5 linked regions of the Macaca mulatta genome follow. The protein of the gene in region 3 interacts with the protein of the main gene of each other region in a biochemical or structural test. Links are inferred from orthologs where the notes say so. Each region holds a gene or a part of one and is shown on either strand. Other genes may lie near its edges.

The links.
Region 1: the proteins of RARA (region 3) and NR0B2 form a complex in vitro, tested with the Homo sapiens proteins (2 studies listed by BioGRID). The link is inferred for Macaca mulatta from reciprocal best matches to the Homo sapiens genes RARA and NR0B2.
Region 2: the proteins of RARA (region 3) and NRIP1 form a complex in vitro, tested with the Homo sapiens proteins (4 studies listed by BioGRID). The link is inferred for Macaca mulatta from reciprocal best matches to the Homo sapiens genes RARA and NRIP1.
Region 4: the proteins of RARA (region 3) and NCOA6 form a complex in vitro, tested with the Homo sapiens proteins (3 studies listed by BioGRID). The link is inferred for Macaca mulatta from reciprocal best matches to the Homo sapiens genes RARA and NCOA6.
Region 5: the proteins of RARA (region 3) and TRIM24 form a complex in vitro, tested with the Homo sapiens proteins (3 studies listed by BioGRID). The link is inferred for Macaca mulatta from reciprocal best matches to the Homo sapiens genes RARA and TRIM24.

What each region holds. Positions count from the first base shown.
Region 1 is NC_133406.1:214,067,658-214,071,970, reverse strand, and holds NR0B2 (nuclear receptor subfamily 0 group B member 2), read right to left. Parts: upstream 2,804-4,313; 5' UTR 2,743-2,803; coding exon 2,211-2,742; intron 889-2,210; coding exon 647-888; 3' UTR 291-646; downstream 1-290. UniProt on the Homo sapiens protein: Transcriptional regulator that acts as a negative regulator of receptor-dependent signaling pathways. Specifically inhibits transactivation of the nuclear receptor with which it interacts.
Region 2 is NC_133408.1:32,761,701-32,765,213, reverse strand, and holds part of NRIP1 (nuclear receptor-interacting protein 1), read right to left. Parts: intron 465-3,513; 5' UTR 135-464; coding exon 1-134. UniProt on the Homo sapiens protein: Modulates transcriptional activation by steroid receptors such as NR3C1, NR3C2 and ESR1. Also modulates transcriptional repression by nuclear hormone receptors.
Region 3 is NC_133421.1:64,701,013-64,705,325, forward strand, and holds the start of RARA (retinoic acid receptor alpha), read left to right. Parts: upstream 1-1,512; 5' UTR 1,513-1,795; exon of another isoform or gene 1,796-2,101; intron 2,102-4,313. UniProt on the Homo sapiens protein: Receptor for retinoic acid. Retinoic acid receptors bind as heterodimers to their target response elements in response to their ligands, all-trans or 9-cis retinoic acid, and regulate gene expression in various biological processes.
Region 4 is NC_133415.1:87,616,647-87,620,649, forward strand, and holds the start of NCOA6 (nuclear receptor coactivator 6), read right to left. Parts: upstream 2,807-4,003; 5' UTR 2,627-2,806; intron 1-2,626. UniProt on the Homo sapiens protein: Nuclear receptor coactivator that directly binds nuclear receptors and stimulates the transcriptional activities in a hormone-dependent fashion. Coactivates expression in an agonist- and AF2-dependent manner.
Region 5 is NC_133408.1:178,386,160-178,389,672, reverse strand, and holds part of TRIM24 (transcription intermediary factor 1-alpha), read right to left. Parts: intron 1,503-3,513; coding exon 1,234-1,502; intron 1-1,233. UniProt on the Homo sapiens protein: Transcriptional coactivator that interacts with numerous nuclear receptors and coactivators and modulates the transcription of target genes.

The sequences.
Region 1 (4,313 bases), on a different chromosome or scaffold from region 3:
CTGCTTCCTGATTGGCTGTGATTGGGCTTTAACTGTGGTGAGAGGGCGCATGAAGTGGGTAGGAGCCAGGAGAGTGGTTAGTGAAGGGTTTGGGAACAGGAGAGCAACCTCCTTCCCCTGAGGATAAAGGCAATGAGGTGATGGGATTGTGAACTGATACTGTTCCCTGGAAAATTAGTTCCAGCAACCCTGTGGATTTTTTCCCTTGGGCTACCTCTGATAGGAGCAGGGTGGGCCCTGGAGGTGAGACAGTCCCTTCTATATGCACAAACAACAGTATCAGGCTCCAAGTGTTTCATACCTTTTATTACAAAAATCAATAACTTAATTCAGTTCTGTATAAAGTCAGTAGGACTTCTGGTCCAATGAGCAGCTTAAGCTTTCATTCCCATCCCAACAAGGGACAGGAGTCTTGGCCCAGAGGCTGTGGGGACCACCAAGAGCCTTCCAGGCAGCTGGAGCACTGTGTCCAAACCAAGGAAGTCCAATGTGGGGTGTGGCTGAGTGAAGGGCTGTTCCTAAGGAGCCAAGTGCTGTCTATACAGCCTTGCCCCCTCCGGGAGCATTGGGTCACCTCTGGGGATGGCCAGGCTGAATCAGCACTGCCAGCCTCTGCCCACCTGATCTCTGCCTGGGCTGCAGCTGGTCACCTCAGCAAGAGCATGTCCCCAAGAAGGCCAGCGATGTCAACATCTCCAATGATAGGGCGAAAAAAGAGGTCCCCAAGCAGGCTGGTCGGAATGGACTTGAGGGTGGAGGCTGTGAGGAGGACACGGGCCAGGCGGCCTTGGGCTGCTGGGCACCAGGGCTCCAGGACTTCACACAGCGCCCAGTGAGCCTCCTGCTGCAGGTGCCCAATGTGGGAGGCGGCTTGGAGGCCTGGCACATCTGTGGGCAGAGAGGGAGAAGAGGGTTGGTGAGCATCCTACTCCCAGCCACCAAAGGAAGAGACTGGCCCAAGATCTGGGCCATCAGAGACACCCCTCTGCCTCCTTTGCTCGGCCTTTGAGGTCCCACTACTACCTCCTCCTTTGGAGGAGGTAATTTATTTATCAATTTCCATTGTATTCATCCATCCATTTATGAAGAGGCAGTATGGAGTAATGGTTAAGAATCAGGTTTCCTGAGTATGAATCCCAGTACTGTCACTTAGCTGGGTGACCTTGGGCAAGTAACTTAATCTCTGGGCTTCAGTTTCTTTATTTGTAAAACGAGGATAATAATATTAATAGGACCTGTCTCCTAGGTTTTTATGAGATTTAAATGAACTAGTATATGTAAAACCCTTAGAATAGGGCCTAACATATGGTAAGTGTGATATGAGTATTTGCTACTATTATTGCAATTAACTACTACGATTTATGCGTGCCACAGGGACTCCTGGGGAACGCTCATCTCAGATGCTCTCCAGATTACAAAGAGCACTGTCTCATCTGCCACTCTCCTGGCCAAATTCCACAAAGACTCCCTTCCTGTCCTCCCTACACCCCTTTCAGTTCTCTCTTCTAAGTGATCTTTCTGAACCCACAGAGGAGTTTCAGCTCTAGAGCTTCACCATGCAGCCTTCCTTTGAAGATGTGACTGAGACACAGCTGTGTCTGCCCACCCCACCTCCCCCGCAGCCTTCTCTAAAGGTCAGAGCAAATTTCTCAGGCAGAGTGGCAAGGGCCAGTCTCTGGAGTGAATAGACCTGAGTTGCCATCCTGGTCTGTCCCTACCTGGCTGTGTTACCTTTAGCTCGTCACTTAGCTTCTCTGTACCTCTTCTGTGAGATGGCTATTTGATGAAAATGAGGAACCGGCCAAGCACAGTGGCTCACGCCTGTAATCCAGCACTTTGGGAGGCCAAGGTGGGTGGATCACCAGAGGGATCAGGAGTTCAAGACCAGCTTGACCAACATGGCGAAACCCCGTCTCTACTAAAAAATACAAAAATTAGCCGGGAGTGGTGGCGGGCACCTGTAATCCCAGCTACTTGGGAGGCTGAGGCAGGGAAAATTGCTTGAACCCAGGAGGCAGAGGTTGCAGTGAGCCAAGATCGCGCCATTGCGCTCCAGAGTAGGTGACAGAGTGAGACTCTGTCTCAGAAAAAAAAAAAAAAAGAAAATGTGGACCCCATGAGATTACAGATATCAAACCCTTAGAAGTTACCTTCCCTGGCTGGCTCCTGCTTCAGCCTTGCCCCCTACCCAGGAGTGTCTGGGAGCTCACCAGGGTTGAAGAGGATGGTCCCTTTCAGGCAGGCATATTCCTTGGGGCTCAGCTCCAGGCCCCAGAAGGACTCCAGACAGCACTGAAGCCACTGCACTGCAGCCAGGGAGGGCTGGGGTCTGTCTGGCGGCTGGCCACTGCCTCCACTGCTGCTGGGCTCCTCCAGTAGAATCTTCTTGAGTATGCTGGGCACCGGGGCCTCAGCCACTTCAAAGGTCACAGCATCTTGGGCCAACCCAAGCAGGAAGAGGGGGCCCCAGCAACCCTGCAGCAGCCGCCGCTGGTCCTGGGGAGGCAGCTGCCAGAAGGATGGCAGGTTCCTGAGGAAGGCCACTGTCTTGGCCAGAACATCCAAGGCCTCCCGGCAGGTGCGATGAGGTGCACATAGCTGGACGGGCCGGTGCTGCCTACATAGGCAGCGGCTACGGGGTCGGGGGACAGCCCTGAGGCTGGAGCTCAGAAGTGCGTAGAGAATGGCTGGGCGGCTTGCAGCTCCCTGGCATGGGCAGGCCCCTGGTTGGCTGGTGCTCATGGTTGGGATCTGCCCTTACTTCCAGCTCTCTGGCCCTCTGTTCTGCGCCGTGGGTGCTATTTATATTCCCAGTGAGTGGAAGGGGGGGAATGGCCCGACAACCTTGACTCCAGAAGTCATGTTCATTGAAAAAAACACACAGACACTGCCCCTGGCAGGAATGGTGGGGAAGTGGTGGGGGAGGGGGCATTGGGAACCCCACGTGGCACTGATATCACTTCAGTCAATGAAGTGGCCGGTGCAGGGCACAGGGCCACCTGCCGCTCACTCAGCTGCCCCTTATCGGATGACTCAAGTGGATAAACAAGGTCATTAACCCAGGTTGTACCAGGGCACCAAGGCCCCAGGTGCACAATCAGCAGGTGTCCCCATTGGTGCCTGCTCTTGTGTGCACAAAAGACTAGCGCTTTCGCTAAGCCAGGAAGTCAGCCCCAGAGCTGGGTGGGCCTTGAATGCAAGGCCCGACCTGGAAGTGCCTTATCACTAGCTTGTTTGCCTAACCTTGGGGCCCTGCTTCTGTTGTCGGCCAGGAGCAGGCTACAGGGAAGGGAGCCAGGACCCTGGGGGGGCTGGGAGGACTTTGCCCGCTGTCCAGTCTCGGAGGCCCCCTTCCTCTGGTTTCAGTTCTGGGCCCCCTGCAGGAATAAGGTCCTTCAGAATCCCTATCCCCTGCCTGATTCCTTTTTTTTTTTTTTTTTTTTTTTGAGACGGAGTCTGCTCTGTCGCCCAGGCTGGAGTGCAGTGGCCGGATCTCAGCTCACTGCAAGCTCCACCTCCCGGGTTTACGCCATTCTCCTGCCTCAGCCTCCCGAGTAGCTGGGACTACAGGCGCCCGCCACCTCGCCCGGCTAGTTTTTGTACTTTTTTTTAGTAGAGACGGGGTTTCACCGTGTTAGCCAGGATGGTCTCGATCTCCTGACCTCGTGATCCGCCCGTCTCGGCCTCCCAAAGTGCTGGGATTACAGGCTTGAGCCACCGCGCCCGGCCTTTCCCTGCCTGATTCCTACCACTCCTGAAAGTCCAGTTCTGCTGAGAAGAACTCACAGAGTTATAATAAAAGATAGTTGCCAGCTGGGCATGGTGGCTCATGCCTGTAATCCCAGCACTTTGGGAGGCCGAGGAAGGGGGATCATTTGAGGTCAGGAGTTCAAGACCAGCCTGGCCAACATGGCAAAATCCTGTCTCTACTAAAAATACAAAAATTAGCCGGGCATGGTGGCATGTGCCTGTAGTCCCAGCTACCCTAGAGGCTGAGGCAAAAGAATCACTTGAAACTGGGAGGCAGAGGTTGCAGTGAGCTGAGATCATGCCACTGTACTCCAGCCTGGGCAACAGAGCAAGACCCTGTCTCAAAAAAAAATGTGTGTGTGTGTGTGTGTGTGTGTGTGTGTATATATATATATATGGTTGCCATTCTCTGAGCACCTGTTATGTGTCAGGCACTTCCCACTCTAATATTGGCAGCCTCCTTCTAAGGCTAGATTCTTACTTTGTGAGACTAAAAAAGTTAAAGTGACTTGCCCAAGGTCATCCCACCAGGAAGACCAAGCCCAGATCTTGCCTGACTCCAA
Region 2 (3,513 bases), on a different chromosome or scaffold from region 3:
TTATTCCCAGCAGACTTTTTGTCGACGGCAGTACCTGATCCCCCTGCTGCCTGATGCATTAGTAATCCTTCTAGGTAAGTTAAAACAATAGAATCCTGGTGCACATCAGAGCCAAGCTCTTCTCCATGAGTCATGTTCAATAGAAGTGTTCACAAGGGCTTGGTTTCTATTCACTTTAAAGAATGGTTTTCTGTGGTGAGTGAGACGTAACTTTAATAAGTGAGTATCAGTTTATCACCTTCCATAGCAATCAGAGAGAGACGTACTGTTACATTCTGTCCAGGATTTCTTCTGGCAATGACAAGATAAATGAGTCTGACCACAGAGCTGATCAACTTCTATGCAAGAAGAAGGAGAATTCCTTAAAACACAGGTCTGTAGCAGTACGCAGATAGAATCCTTAGTGAATATATTCCTTTTCCTTCTTCATCGTTTGTTCCCCATTAAATGCAAGTATCAGTGTTCTAAAAAAAATAAAAATAAGAATAGTTCAGGAGGCAGAACTAGAATCATGTTATACCTACAAGCAAAATAACATAGCATTTCTAAGTGTATATGTATATTACATATAAATAATAGACATATATATGGACTACAGTCACGTTAGTAATTTGTTTTATTGCCATTCCTATTCCATTGAAAATGTCTACTGGAAATCCTGTGGGTTAATCCATACTGTTAAAATGATCAAATCATTAGAGAAGAGAACATACTTTAATGTTATATAACCATCTTCCAAAGCCCGCCAAGTCTCTGAATTTTCATAAGCACCTTTCTGCAAAGTAATGTGAATATTAAGTCTCCTGTATAGCTTTATAGCTCTATAGGGGAACTAGAACCTGCTTCCTTACATTACTGAGCACTTAGGAAGAAACAAAAGTAGATGTGCAGAAAAAGGAAAAGAGATGCAGACTCTGATGAGTCTGATGTGGGGCTGAGGCCAACAGAACAGATTCATTTCTGACATCATCCCCCAAACACCAGACATTCCATAAGTAATTTTTAGAATTTCTGTTTTCAAAAAAATGAAACCACTAACAAGTTGAAGATTATTTTGTGAGTCTGTTCAAAGTGTGACCATCTTAGTCATATTCATAAACATTAAAATACAGTCATATGGAGGAGAGTGATTCTTTAGATGCTTGTTTGGGGCTATCAAGGGTTTAATGTAGTTTGTTAGTAAATCCTTCCTCATGTGCTCTATGGAGAAATCTTAATGTCAGGTCCATTCCTTAGAGATACAGAGGACAGGGAAGGCATAAACATATACAAGAAGTACAATGGAAAATGCCAAAGACATTTTAGTCACAGCTTGAAAAACATTCCAATGGTATTTATTATCTAAGAAGATACCAAACGATTTCCTATCACTAACACATACACAACAGAAGAAGCAAGAACTCATTGCATTTCTGCAAACTTGATAGATAAATGTCAATATTGACCTAAGGAATGGGGCCAGTACACCTTTGGAAGAGAAGCTAGAATAAATTCCAAGAATTTTGTTTTTCAAGATGCCAGAACATTTTGTTCAAGTTATTAGACCTGAAGCTATCCACAAATACCTTGGTCCCTATGGAACTGAAAAGATAAATTTTAATTGAAAGATTACCCTGTAGCTTTTTGAGTACAATGCTTAACTCTAAATCAAACTTTAGGAAAGAATTATCTGATTGTATCAAATTGTTGAATGTATTGATTAAAAGGATATGAAATGATAGCCAAAGAAAAAGATATAGAAAGGAGGCAGCAACAATTAATTTCAATTTGTGTAAGGAGTAGGATGAGAAGAGACCTTCTTGAGATTCCAGTGCCACCATTTTAAAAAGCTTTGCCATAATGTACTTAAGATGGATATTTTAAGAGGTTAATAATGATATAGAGATGAAATGGTGATGACGACTGCCACCAAATATCCATTCTCCCGTTTTCCTTTCCTAATAAAACCCTGACTTGCTTTTCAGGGAGTAGGGAGATATCCCAGCTAAACAGCACTTTTTTTTTCCCCATTGGTATATATCTTACAATTGATGGCATGTTGCTTAACTGGAGGCTTATTTTTCTTTCTTAGTGGTATAAAACGTAAGGACACATTTTACAACGATAACATCTTGGAGTTGAGGAAACAGTTTTCTAATTCTCTTCAAAAACTTAACATGGCCGGGTACCGTGGCTCACACCTGTAATCCCAGCAATTCAGGAGGCCGAGGCGGGTGGATTGCCTGAGGTCAGGAGTTTGAGACCAGCCTGACCAATGTGGTGAAACCCCGTCTCTGGAAAAATACAAAAATTAGCTGGGTATGGTGGCATGCGCCTGTAGTCCCAGCTACTCAGGAAGCTGGGGCAGGAAAATTGCTTGAACCTGGTAGGCAGATGTTGCAGTGAGCCGAGATTGCGCCACTGCACTCCAGCCTGGGTGACAGAATGATACTCCATCTCAAAACAAACAAACAAAAAACAAAAATAACAACTGCTAATAAACAATTAATTCTCAGCTAGTTAAGACATTTAACAACCATTTAATGGGATATGCAAATCTACTGTATTTCTCTCCATACCACTACCAACCTTTCTGTTCTTGGGTTGAGTCAAGAAAGTCAAAATCATATCAGCCATTTGAAAACTGGTTTGTAAACAGCCATAAAATATACTTTATTTAAGAATAAGAATGAAGTAAGGAGCACCTTTGAGTTCATATTACTCCTGTTATTGCTATTCTACTTTTTACTGTGTATAATATAATTTGCAAAGTATTATTCATTGCTTTAAAAAGACTGAATTTACACATTTCTGAATTTACAAAGCAGATTTGGAAGTTGATTTAAAAAAGAATTACCATAGTTTCTTTGCAAAGGAGCTCTAACACTGTATTTTACCATTTATTTACCTCTCTACCATTTATTTCCTATCTTCACAGAGAAAGTAGATGACAGATATTAGTAATAATCATCTCTTAATAATCCTTTTTTGGCAATCAGCTTTCTCAGGTTGAAAATAATCATTTCTTAAATATGAAAATTTTTAACTTCAAGAACAAAAATGACATACACAAATAATTTTATTAAGCTCCTTGGGTCTGAGTACTGTGCTAATCATAATTAGTACAGTGCAACACAGTCAACAGATAACTGAATCTTGGGATACATGAAGTTATTCAATGACCAAATTCCCAGTAGGAAGGAAAGATTTTGACATTCAAACACACACATTCTCTCACTCTCAAAAAATATATAGATGAGATACTAAAATAATTCAAGCCACAAATTTGAAACCACATACTGTAGCTCATCACTTAAAGGAATGACGAGGCAAAGGTCATCCTAAATATTCAATTGTTTATTTAATTTAGATCAATACAACACATTCTTACTGAACTCCCAATCTGCTTCGAGATCTGATCTGTCTTAGGATTGGTGAATTATGTTCATTTTTAAAAAGAGATGTGATACATAGCATCTAGAGAACCAGGCAAGGTGAAAGTCCACCTTTAGGTTTCTAGAATATCCCTAATAA
Region 3 (4,313 bases):
GGCAGAGCTCCCTGCTGTTGTCGGGGCTCAGGCTGGAAGGCCCTTGGGGGAGCGCGGCTGGGGGGTAAGGGGTTAAGCGGTGGCGTCCACATCTGGGAGCCATTGGCGCATTCCTGCCGGCTGAGCGCATGTTTGCGGATGAATCTGGACAGGACAGGGCGGGAGGGGCTGGGCGGGAGGTTCGCACCGGCAGACGGAAATCCAGACGGGAGCGGGAGACAGCTCCGGCCCAGCGGGCGGGAAGGGGCCTGGGGAAGCGCGGCCCAGCACTGCTGGGGCAGTTTCCCGTGCGCCGGCCCTCAGGGCAGAGCGTCCCGCCATCCTGGCTTGTCCTACCTTACCACGGCTCTTGGGCTAAAGCCAGGGACAATCAGATACTTCAGTTCTAGACCCGGCTCTGCAACTGGTGCGACCGTAGACAAAACCCAGTGCCTGCTCTTGGCCTCTCTTTCCTCTGTAAAGCGGCGGCCGCCGTCGGACCAGTGGGTCTGAGAGCTCTGCCACCGAGTCAGGCTGAGAGTCTCCTCACTGGGCTGGAGGCCTGGGAGTGCAGCACTTCCGCTTCCAGTGGGAAGTTCTGTGGGGGCACTCGTGGCCACTTCTCTGCCTGGGAACAGGGCGAGAGGGGAGTATTCCCTAAGCGATTCTGCTTCCCCCTAAGCTCGCCAGTGGACTGCTAGCGATGGGGACAGGATCCTCCCAAACAGAGCAGCAGGCTGGGAGCGGGGTCATGACTGTGTTGGGGACTGGGGTCTCTCAGATGGAGGGTGATTCAGATCCTGTCCAGTTGGAATATGAACAAGAGCTTTCCTGGCTTCTCCAGACTTGTTCGGGAGAGAGAAGCTTGAGTCTGAGTCTTTGAGCACGGAGGGGTGCTCCTGGGCGCCCCTACTGGAAGATCCAAAAGTCTTGCCCTTTGAGAAGAGTACTTTAAGGGGGTTGGGGGGTTGCGGGGTTGGGTTGAGCCAGAGTTCCTAGGACCCACTGGAGCTGGAAAGGTGTTTGGGGAAAGAAGAGATGTACTTGCGGGAGATCTACTCCTGGACTCTTTTTTTTTTACTTCTTGCAGCTGAGATACTTAAGATCCAGGGAAGGGAAGTGACTTGGTCAAGGTCACACAGCTCTCAGTTCCAGCTGGTCCCTGGAAGAGGATTATAATTATAGGATTCAAGGGCTTGACAGCTAGGGCAGGAGTCACCGCACTCACTTCCATGTTACGCCGCCGCCTCACTTCTCGGGTTTAGGTGTGGGTGTGTGTGTGGTTGGGGGGAAAGGAGTGTAGGATACCACACGCTGCGGTCTTCTCCACCGAGCGCTATTTTCATTCTTTCCGCAGAACCTCACCCCCCCTGTCGCTCTGAATCTTCGGTTCTGGGTCTGAGGGAGGGATTCTCCCGGATTCCCACGGTCTAGTCTTCAGCTAGGAGCGGCTCCTTTAAGACTCGCCCTTCTCGGGGTCTATTAAGGAGAGGCGGGGGCGGGCGTGAGTCTGTAGATCCGCCCCTGACTGATGATTGGTCGGTGGGCGAGCAGGGGCGGGCCTGAGGGAGAAGGCCTCCCCCCACCTCTGCTCCGTACCCTCCGCCCCTTCAGTCTGGGGCTCCGGGTAAAGTTTCAGCCTCCGCACGTGACTCGCTATGGCCGCTGCCGTCGCCCCGCGCCCCTGAGCCGCGGCCCCCCGGACGGCTCCTCTCCCGGGACCCCGCACCCTGATGCCGAGCAGCACCAGGGCGCCGGGTTAGGGCAGACGCTGTGCTCGCGGGCACCCCGAACGGGTTGCGTCCCCGGCTGCGAGGTAACTCCTCCCCCGGGGATTTTGGGGAGCCCCTGGTTCCCACAGGCGTCGGGGCCCCATGTCCTGCCCCAGATTGGCGCTGCGGGAGGGGACTGGGTGCCGGGAGGCTTCCGACGGAACCCGGGGTTTCCTGGGCTTCCCAACTCGCTGCCGCCGTGTCCAGGGTGGGGGAGCCCCGTCTGTGCGTCTGCCTGCGCCGTGTCTTCGCGCGCAGCCTTGAGGTGTCTGTGGCCGTCTGCTGCGCGTGTCCCCCGCGCTCAAGCTGTTGCAGAACCACCGCTGGGAACTCCTGTTCTCTCTTTTTCTCTTTAAAAACAAGCAAAACAAAAAGGCTTTCAAACCTGTTTGGGGAGAGATCGGATGCTCAACGGACTAGCCCCCTCTCTTTTTCCCTCCTGTTATCTGAGCTGCCCTGTGGTTTGGGGAGAATCAGCCAGGGGGCCCACTCCCACCAGAGGGAGCCGGCCGGGGGCGGGGCCCGCTCAGCTGGTGTCCCCCGTGGAGTGAGGGGAACTCACTCAGAATTGGGTGCAGGAGCCAGTGCAGTATGTATGTAGGGGTGTTCCTGGGTCTTGTACCACCATGGGGTGTGGGAGCTTTTTGGGGTGAGGGAAAGACGGAATAGACTGGTGGACTTTGCTCTGCTGAGGGTGTCTGGGACCTGGTGCCACCCACGAGGCTTGGAAGCTGCTGGCCAGATGTGTGTGTGAGCCTGTTGTGGGGTTGGGGGGGCGGCTGGGATATGAGCTTGGCTATGTCCCCTCATCTTCTCTCTGGGCACTGCCCTATTGTCAGGCTGCTCCTTGCGAAGGACAGGCCTCCAATGTGTTAGGGTGGGGATGGGGACCAACTAATCCGGAAACCAGACAGAAGAGCTCCCCAGCCTTGGAGATGCTTCCGCACCCTCCATCCTGTCTTGGATCGGATGCCCAGTGTGATGGCCTGGAAGGGTACCTCCTGCCCCCTCTGGCTCTGTCTTCTGTAACCAGGTTGCCTTCTGTCTGATGGCTGTGTGCACATATGTGTATGTATATATTCTTGGAAAGGATTGTTTCTGAGAACACCGCCCAACTCCCCACGCCCTGCTGCTTACCCCAAGGATCACTTCTGCCCTTGACACTCCCTCTCCTCACTTTCCTGGCCAGGACATTCTGGGATGTCTCTTATACCCTTCCCTGTCTGCAGTCTTCATAGGGCAAGATTGTTTTGGGGAAGTGGTTCTGTAAGGACCTTCCAGGTCTTGCTAGGAAATTGGACCTCAGGCCCCAAACTCTCCTACAGGGCTCGATGAGGAGGCTGTGCCGGGGAAGCCCCAGGTTGGAGTGGGGGTGGCTTGGAGCCTTGGGGCTTCCCCTGGAGTGGGCCGAGGGGGGGGGCGGGTGGAGATGAGGCTAGGGGGGAGGAACAAGAGAAAAAATATTTGGAGTTGGTTGTATGATGCTTCTTCCTGGAGGAAGAAGAGGGGGTGGTTGTGGAGTCTGGGAGTTTGTGGCTGTGAAAGATGGTATGCTAGGAGGAGCTGGGACATCAGTACTGCCTGGGAGTCTGGACCATGTGGTTTCCTGAAAGAGAGGTCAGGAGGGTCAGACTGGAGTAGCCTCTTGGGAGCTGAGGATCTTGGATTTGCAAGGATTTTGAGGGTATGAGTGAGTGTACATGAGGTGTCACTGCAGGGGTTTCACCATCAGACTGACAACGGTGGCACAGATGCAGTGGCAGTTCTGAGAAGATCCTGGGCTTGGAATGGCTTAATCCTGGCCACCTCCTCCTTCCTATAGCCCCTAAATCTCTAGCCCTTCAGTCTGACCCTAAATGCCCCAGCTGCCACCCTGGGACTCCTTTTTAGTCCCCTTCCTACTCCCAACCTTGAGGCAGCCTGGCAGGAAGCCAGCTGTGGGCAGCCCCATCCTGATCGCCCATGTGCCTCCCCCGCTGGGCATAGTCACCCACATGTGCCATGACGTGGTTCCTGCCACCCCATCTAAGTATGGGGGAGAGGACATTGTCGGAGTGGCCCCTCAGTTCTGTTTTGGGGACATTCACCCAGACCCCAGCTAATGAGCACCCCTTCCCCTAAACCATTTAGTCTTGGAAGCTGACTCTTGCCCTCTGGGACCTTTCCTCCCAGGCCACTCCTTGCTCAGACTCCAGTCTCAGGTGGGATGGTCCTCAGAACTGTGTGATGTGAGGGTGGGGCCTGTCCCAAAATACAAACCCCAATGCCCAGTTTCCAGTCCTCTTGGAAGCATGAGCCGGATAGGACTTAGGCTGGGCTGGAGGGGTGGGTGTGTTTTGGCCTCTGTGGGGTCTATTAATATTTGGGAGCACTGCCTGCGATCTGGGGTGATAGGCATCTGGGGATGGTAATCCTGTCCCTACGACAAATAAGCGGGGTAATCTCCGCTTGCTCAGTAGCCACCCCCATCTTGTGTTGGTAGTTTTGGGAGTGTGGGAAGCTGGCAGGGCCCCTGGCAAGATGACCAGGATTGTCTTGACTTACTGGGTTTTGGGAAAGGAG
Region 4 (4,003 bases), on a different chromosome or scaffold from region 3:
TGGCTAACACGGTGAAACCTCGTCTCTACTAAAAATGCAAAAAATTAGCCGGGCGAGGCGGCGGGCGCCTGTAGTCCCAGCTACTCGGGAGGCTGAGGCAGGAGAATGGCGTGAACCCGGGAGGCGGAGCTTGCAGTGAGCCGAGATTGCGCCATTGCACTCCAGCCTGGGCGACTAAGCGAGACTCTGTCTCAAAAAAAAAAAAATAAAAATAAAAATAAAAAAAATAAAAAAAATAAAACAAGTATATGAATATTAGATTTGTATATGTTGGAAACTATATTTCCATATAATTGGTGTTCCTTATAATTCAATGTACTTTATTTTATACAACTAAAAAATATTATTCTGAAAGGGGTCCATGGCACAGATAAGGTGAGGTCTTCCTTCATTAGAAAAACCCAGGTGGCTCATGCCTGTAATCCCAGCATTTTGGGAGGCCGAGGTGGGCAGATCACTTGAGCTCAGGAGCTCAAGACCAGCCTGGGCAACATGTTGAAATCCCATCTCCAAAAATTAAAAAAAAAAAAGAAAAGAAAAACCCAGAACAAATGAATTGTGTTGCAGTATATACATATGGTATTGACAATCTTATTTTATATTTGCCCTCATAACCTTTCTGTTCATTAATTCTCTTTGATTATATGGGGCCCTGGACCTATTTTCCATGACTAGTTTGCATATTTCCTTCAGAACTCTCCCATAGCCCATGCGAACTTTGAATTCTTCTCTAACATGATCCAACTTCAATTAACAAAATAGACACTCTGGGTCTTTACAATTTTTCACTTTTCTTTTTTAGGATTTTGTGTCCCTTTGTGGTAAACACCTAGAAGAGAAGAAGTATTTCTTTTTTCTTTTTTTTTTTTTTAGACAGTGTCTTACTCTGTAATCCAGGCTGGAATATCATGGAACGATCACAGCACGGCTCATTGCAGCCTTGGCCTCCCAGGCTCAAGCGATCCTTCCACCTCAGCCTCCTGAGTGGCTGGGACTAAAAGTACAAGCCACATCAGGTGGCTAATTTTTTTTATTTTTTTGTAGAGATGGGGTCTCCCAGCTCCTGGGCTCAAGCAATCCTCCCGCCTTGGCCTCCCAAAGTGCTGGAATTACAGGCATGAGCCACTATGGCTTGCCGGAGCATCTCTTAAAACTCTACAAAGTTAGAAGGTCTCAAAGACAACTTCTTTGCACAATTAGAGATGAGCCAGGAAATACCAAAAAACTGGCTGCCTACCCTCTTTTGTATTCCCTTCAGCCTTTGTATTGCCAAAGTCATTAAAGGAACAAAACAAATTTAATAGTTATCTGGTATATACTGTTACGCTTCACTTCTTATTGTTTTTGTTTGTTTGCTTTTAGTTTCATCACAAGAATGTTATGGTTCATTTCTTAACACCTTTCTCCCAGCTAGCAAACTCCTTTAAGGCAATGTGTTTAGTGAGCAGGCAGCTGACCATTTCCAGTAGACCCTCTGCTACTAACTTGTAAGATCTTGAAAAGTCAACTTTACCTTTCTGTTTCAGCTAAAATCACTACCTGATTTGAAATCTTTACTTGATCTCTCAGGCCTTTGTAGTTTTTATACATTCACTCTTCTTCACCATTTTACTGGCTTCAATAACGCCTTTCGGATGACCTCTCCAGGTGACCCTGCTCTTAAGCTGTGGGCTGTCCCCTTCCAGGGAAGACACCTTGGGTCACCGCCCCCAAACAGCCGGGTCCCTCCTTTTAAAGACACACACAATTCCCTAAGTTGATAAAGGTTCTTTCCTTTCTTGCCAACCAGTTCCACTCTCTGTGCCTCTTTTGCCGGTCAGCTCCTGCACCCAAACCTCAGTCCCCTTCTGTCCCCCTTTTCTCTCATCAAACACCTCCTTTTTCCTGTTGCTTCCCCCAATAGGGGGTGGAGGATGCTTGGAACGTAAGTCTTCAGAGCCTTGGGAGTTATACAGCTTTGCAAATCAGCCCCAGTACCCCAAGGACTGCCCCAATCTGATACCAGCGTCTGTACCCAAAGGGCCCTCATTCCTCATCCATCACCTCCTTCCCTCCCCGCAAAGAACTGCTCCAGCCCTGACAGCCTAAGCTTGGCCCCCATGCCTCCACCCCAATCACCAGGTTCTACCTGCACTAGTGCCCTAAGCCCGCCTAAGGCCTAACCCAGTTCCACGTCCTGCCATCCTCTCAGCCCATGGACCCCAATCCTGGTTCCTTTCGGATCCAGTGTTCCTTCTCCACGACCCTGACCACGACCCCACTACTGGCTCCCGCCTGTTCCCCGGGCCTGGAGCGCCACCCCGTGCAGACCCCGGCCAGCCCTGCACTCCCTCAGTGCGCCGGCCCCAGCGCCCAGCACCCTCCCCACCCCGCCGGGCCGCCGCTCCCTCCAGCGCCCCCGCCCGCAGGCCTGGGGCCCGCTCCCCAACATGGCGACGGGGACACAAGCGCGGCGGGCGGGGCGGCTCCGGGCCGGGCCCGCACTCAGACCGTGCCACTCGGTCGCCCGGCGCCATTTTCCCGCGCCGGGCCCGGGCGGCGCCTCCTCCCCGCGAAGCCAGCCCGACAAGGACCGCGGACACCCGGCGGGCCCACCCCTTACGGGCCCGCGCCGCCGTCGTCTCACCTGAGCGCGGCCCCAGCCCTCCCGGGCGGGCCTTGGAGCGCCAGCCCCGGCCGTGCGTGCCCGCCGCCCTCCGTGCGTCCGTCCGTCAGTCCTCGCGTGCGCCCGTCTGTCCGGCCACCCGCGCCCGGCCGCCCGCAGCCCGACCCGGCAGGGCCTCACGGAGCCGGCGGGGAGGGGGATGGGCCGGACCGGGCCGGGGAGGGAGGGGGAGGGAGGGAAAGAGGGAGGGAGCGCCAGAGGGGGCGGGGCGGACTCGAGGGGCGGGGCATTGCCCACGTGACCAGACGTCCCCGGGAGCGCGAGGTGGAGTGCGCGCCAGCTCGCTTGGGTGCTGTGTGCTTAGTGCTGGGATCTCGTGGGTCTCTGTCGGCTTCCCAGTGCTATTCTCTCGCCAGTGAGTCCCGCTGGGGAAACACACACCGAACAGCCTTTTGCGAGCGCACTGAGTATCCTTGGAAATGGCAACTCCAAACCTCAGTTTACCCATCTGAAATATGGGGAAAATCATAGTTCTTGTGAGGAGGAAATGGAGGTAGGCATGGAAGGCACTTGTCACCGTGCCTGACACATAGTGTCTAATAATAAGCTTCATGGAATATAGATAAAAGCTTTCACTATTATTTGCCTCTAAATCCCTCTCTTCTTTTTCCCATCATTACCTCCCTAGCAAGCTAAAATGCTCAGGAAATAGAATTATTGATCGAACGAGTGTGGCCCCTCCCCACTTCCCAAATGTAGAAAGGCCTCCTCAGCACTGGCCTTGACGTCTTCATACAGGCCTGGATTCATATCTGGCTTTCACTCTTTTTTTAAAATTTTTTGGGCCGGGCGCGGTGGCTCAAGCCTGTAATCCCAGCACTTTGGGAGGCCGAGACGGGCGGATCACGAGGTCAGGAGATCGGGACCATCCTGGCTAACACGGTGAAACCCCGTCTCTACTAAAAAATACAAAAAACTAGCCGGGCGTGGTGGCGGGCGCCTGTAGTCCCAGCTACTCGGGAGGCTGTGGCAGGAGAATGGCGTAAACCCGGGAGGCGGAGCTTGCAGTGAGCTGAGATCCAGCCACTGCACTCCAGCCTGGGCGACAGAGCGAGACCGCGTCTCAAAAAAAAAAAAAAAAATTTTTGTTTTTGTTTTCTTTTTTCCCACACTACACTGATGTATTTTTTAAATTTTTGTAAGTACGTAGTAGGTGAATATATTTATGGGGTACATGAGATTTTGATACAGGCATACATCATGTAATAATCACATCATGGTAAATGGGGTATCTAGCACCTCAAGCATTTATCCTTTGTGTTACAAACAACCCAATTACACTCTAGTTATTTTAAAATGTACAGCTAAATTGTGTGTGTGTGGTTTTTGTGTTTTTTT
Region 5 (3,513 bases), on a different chromosome or scaffold from region 3:
TTTGGGAGGCCGAGGTGCGAGGATCACCTGAGGTCGGAGTTCGAGACCAACCTGACCAACATGAAGAAACCCCGTCTCTACTAAAAATACAAAATTAGCCGGCATGGTGGCACATGCCTGTAATCTCAGCTACTCGGGAGGCTGAGGCAGGAAAATTGCTTCAACCCAGGAGAGGCAGAGGTTGTGCTGAGCCGAGATGGCACCATTGCACTCCAACCTAAGCAACAAGAGTAAAACTCTGTCTATATATATAAAAAAAAGTGTAAGTAAATGTAACTGAAAACAACAGTTTATATAAATTAGACTTTATATTCCTTACTAAACTTTTATTAAAATAAGTCTGCCCACATCTAACCTGAAAAGCAGAGTTAAACTATTTAACAAAAGTATATATATTTTATCTTCAAAAGTTGGACTGAGGCTGGGCACAGTGGCTCACACCTGTAATCCCAGCACTTTGGGAGGCTGAGGCGGGATCACCTGAGGTCAGGAGTTTGGGACCAACCTGGCCAACATGGTGAAACCCTGTCTCTACTAAAAATACAAAAATTAGCCGGGCGTGGTGGCGCACACTTGTAATCCCAGCTACTCGGGAGGCTGAGGCATGAGAATCGCTTCAACCTGGGAGGCAGACGTTGCAGTGAGCTGAGATCGTGCCACTGCACTCCAGCCTGAGTTACAGAGTGAGACTACATCTCAAAAAAAAAAAAAAAAAATTGGATTACAGTAAAAATAAGAATGGTAAACAGTATATTTGCTCAGAAATAGAGTTTGAAAAAGGTATATTATAATGAACCACACTTCTGCCCTTTTGTATTTCACTCTGCCCTAGTTTCTAAGATGCAATGTGGTTTACTAAACACCACATCCTCACAGAGGACAGATTCTTAATGTATTCATCATTCTGAAGCACCAGTATAGGAATTAACAGGTACACAACTTTTCCCATCAATTACAGGCCTGGGTTATTTAGGAATACAAACATTTATCCTCTGCTATAATTTAAAGACAATGAAGAGTAGATGAAAATAGATTTATCAGCTAAACAAACCATTAAATCCTTTTTAAGTAGGGATTAAAAACTAGGCATTAAATCAGGGATCCTTAATGTGATAAATTTTTATAAATGCAGATATTTAGATTATGGAAAATGGATGTCTTTGTCATTTTGAGCTGCTCAACACAATTATACTATAATTATCTAAGTGAGGACAGGCCTGCTTCCAAATTTACCTGATGAGAGATGGAAGGTTGCTGGATGGGCCCCTGCATTCTAGGGTTTGGTAAACCCACAGGTGCTGGCCTCCGTTGCACCTGTTGCCTCTGAGCCATTACCTGTTGCTGCATATGCTGGAGCCGTAATTGAGCTAGGCTGATCTGTGTTGGGAACTTGGATAACTGGTTTGATGATAAACCACTTGGTGGCTGTGAATTCTGTTCCACGACAGGATTCTGCTTAGGCATTTGTGGCTGGCTCTCTTTATCCTCAATTACTAAAGAACCTAATTAAAAAGAAAAGGTTAAGGGAAAAAGTTTTTCAGATAGTTGGTGAAGTATCACATTTTCTAAGACTATTTTTGCAGAACTTCAAAATTGCCAAGGAATTCCTGGTCTCATGAGCCCTTTTACACTCTGAAAGACAGAGGACCCCCAAACAGCTTTTGTTCATCTAAGTTCTAGTCATCAAAATTTATAATATTAGAAATTAAAAATAATTTTTAAAACTAATTCATTTAAGAATAATAAAACCATAACAACATGTTTTTATAAAACTACGTTGTAAAAAATTTGGTAAACATTTTTGATATTTTAAAATACTGTTTGATGTTTTAAAAAATCTCTTTGAATGTCTGGCTTAATAGCTGAAATCTCATTATCTGTTTCTGCACTATCTATCATAATATATTGTTAAGTTAAAATATATGAAAAAAATTTCAGTCTTACTGTATGGCAGACAGCACCTGACAGCAATAACTTAAGTCTACCCTGAGAGTGACCCTGTATAGCCTAAGGAGAATGTGTGTTTGGAGTTCCGCGCTAAGGAACCCAGGAGTGGCCAACCCAGAGATCCATTCTTTATCAGTGAAGAATATCTGAACTCCCAGGCCAGCCTGTGGAATCCAGGCCATATCGGGGATGGAGGACTTGTGCTTTGTGTTAAATGAAGGTTGCCACATGGAGGTTGCTAGCGGGAGGGTGCTAAGTGCTATATTAACTACTTGCTGGTGGTTCTCTTGTCCAGCCCACTGCCACTGGACTGTCCTGTATGTAAGTTCCCTCAATAAGCCCTGTGTCTCATTCACTAGCTCCAGGTCTCTTCTTGGGCCTCTCTTCTTGGGCCTCTCAAACATGGTCCTATCCCTACTGAAGTGAATAGGGGTCTGGCACAACATTCATCCAGACGTGTAGTTGGAAAAGGGTGACCTTTGTGGTCCCCTGATAGAGTACCAGACTATACTCTGAGAACTGCTGTCATATATCAAAACAAGCAAACCTGACATTGGCTCTAAAAACAATCCCAAAAAGTATTTCTGAATATTTACTATTAACAAGTTGTGATCTCTCAAGTTTCCTATACCTTTACAATGCATACTATGTTAACTTTTTGATACAGAATACATTGACCAGCTTAAAACTAGTTTTAAGAGTTTAATGGTGCCTTTGAAAGGTCTGATTCAAGCTTGATTTCAACAGTAGAAACTCAAATGTTTATGATTACTCATATGCATTCTAAAAATATATAGTTATTCATTAAATGTTTACTGTGTGTAATTCACTACTACAGGTAGGTGTATGCATATGTTTAAAAGAAACAATAACATTCTCTTTTACACATAAGGGATCTAAGGTTTAGAGAGGTTGTAAAACTTATCCAAAGTCACTCAAGACAGTAACAAAATATTCACCTAGACCAATATTTTTCCCTAGTGTTCTTATACGTTTCTCAGAAGCCATGGGTAACAAGTTTAGGAAACTTGTCTCCTTCTTTAGAGATTTACAATGTAAATCTCACTGTTTATAAATTTACAGTGCTGTAAGTGACAGCTCTGAGAAATTCTACAGTAAAATATATTGTTTAACTTCCTTATACTGGTTTCACAAACTATTAGACTAGGAGATCCTGTTTTTGTTTTGGCTAAAGTAGATTTATCTGAAACTATATCCATTTATGTGTGTACAGTTTTGAATATAATTCTTAAACATACTGATGTCTATATGTGGGTGTATTTACCTATTGTGATATAAGTACATAACACATATGACCACTTGTTTGGATTTATATCTTGTGATGGGTTCTGAGTACAGATGAATGTGTAGTGGTGGAGTCAGGTGTGGCAATAAGAGTTACTTATACACATGTTTTGTATTCTAAAGATGCTTCTTTTTGGTAAAATGAGTGTGTATAATTCCAGTTTCCTGCTATGTATCAATATACATATGTTTGTATCTAAACTAGTCTGCAGGGGTCTCCTTATCACCTTTGCTTCCAGGATAAATCTTTTTGTTCTTCCC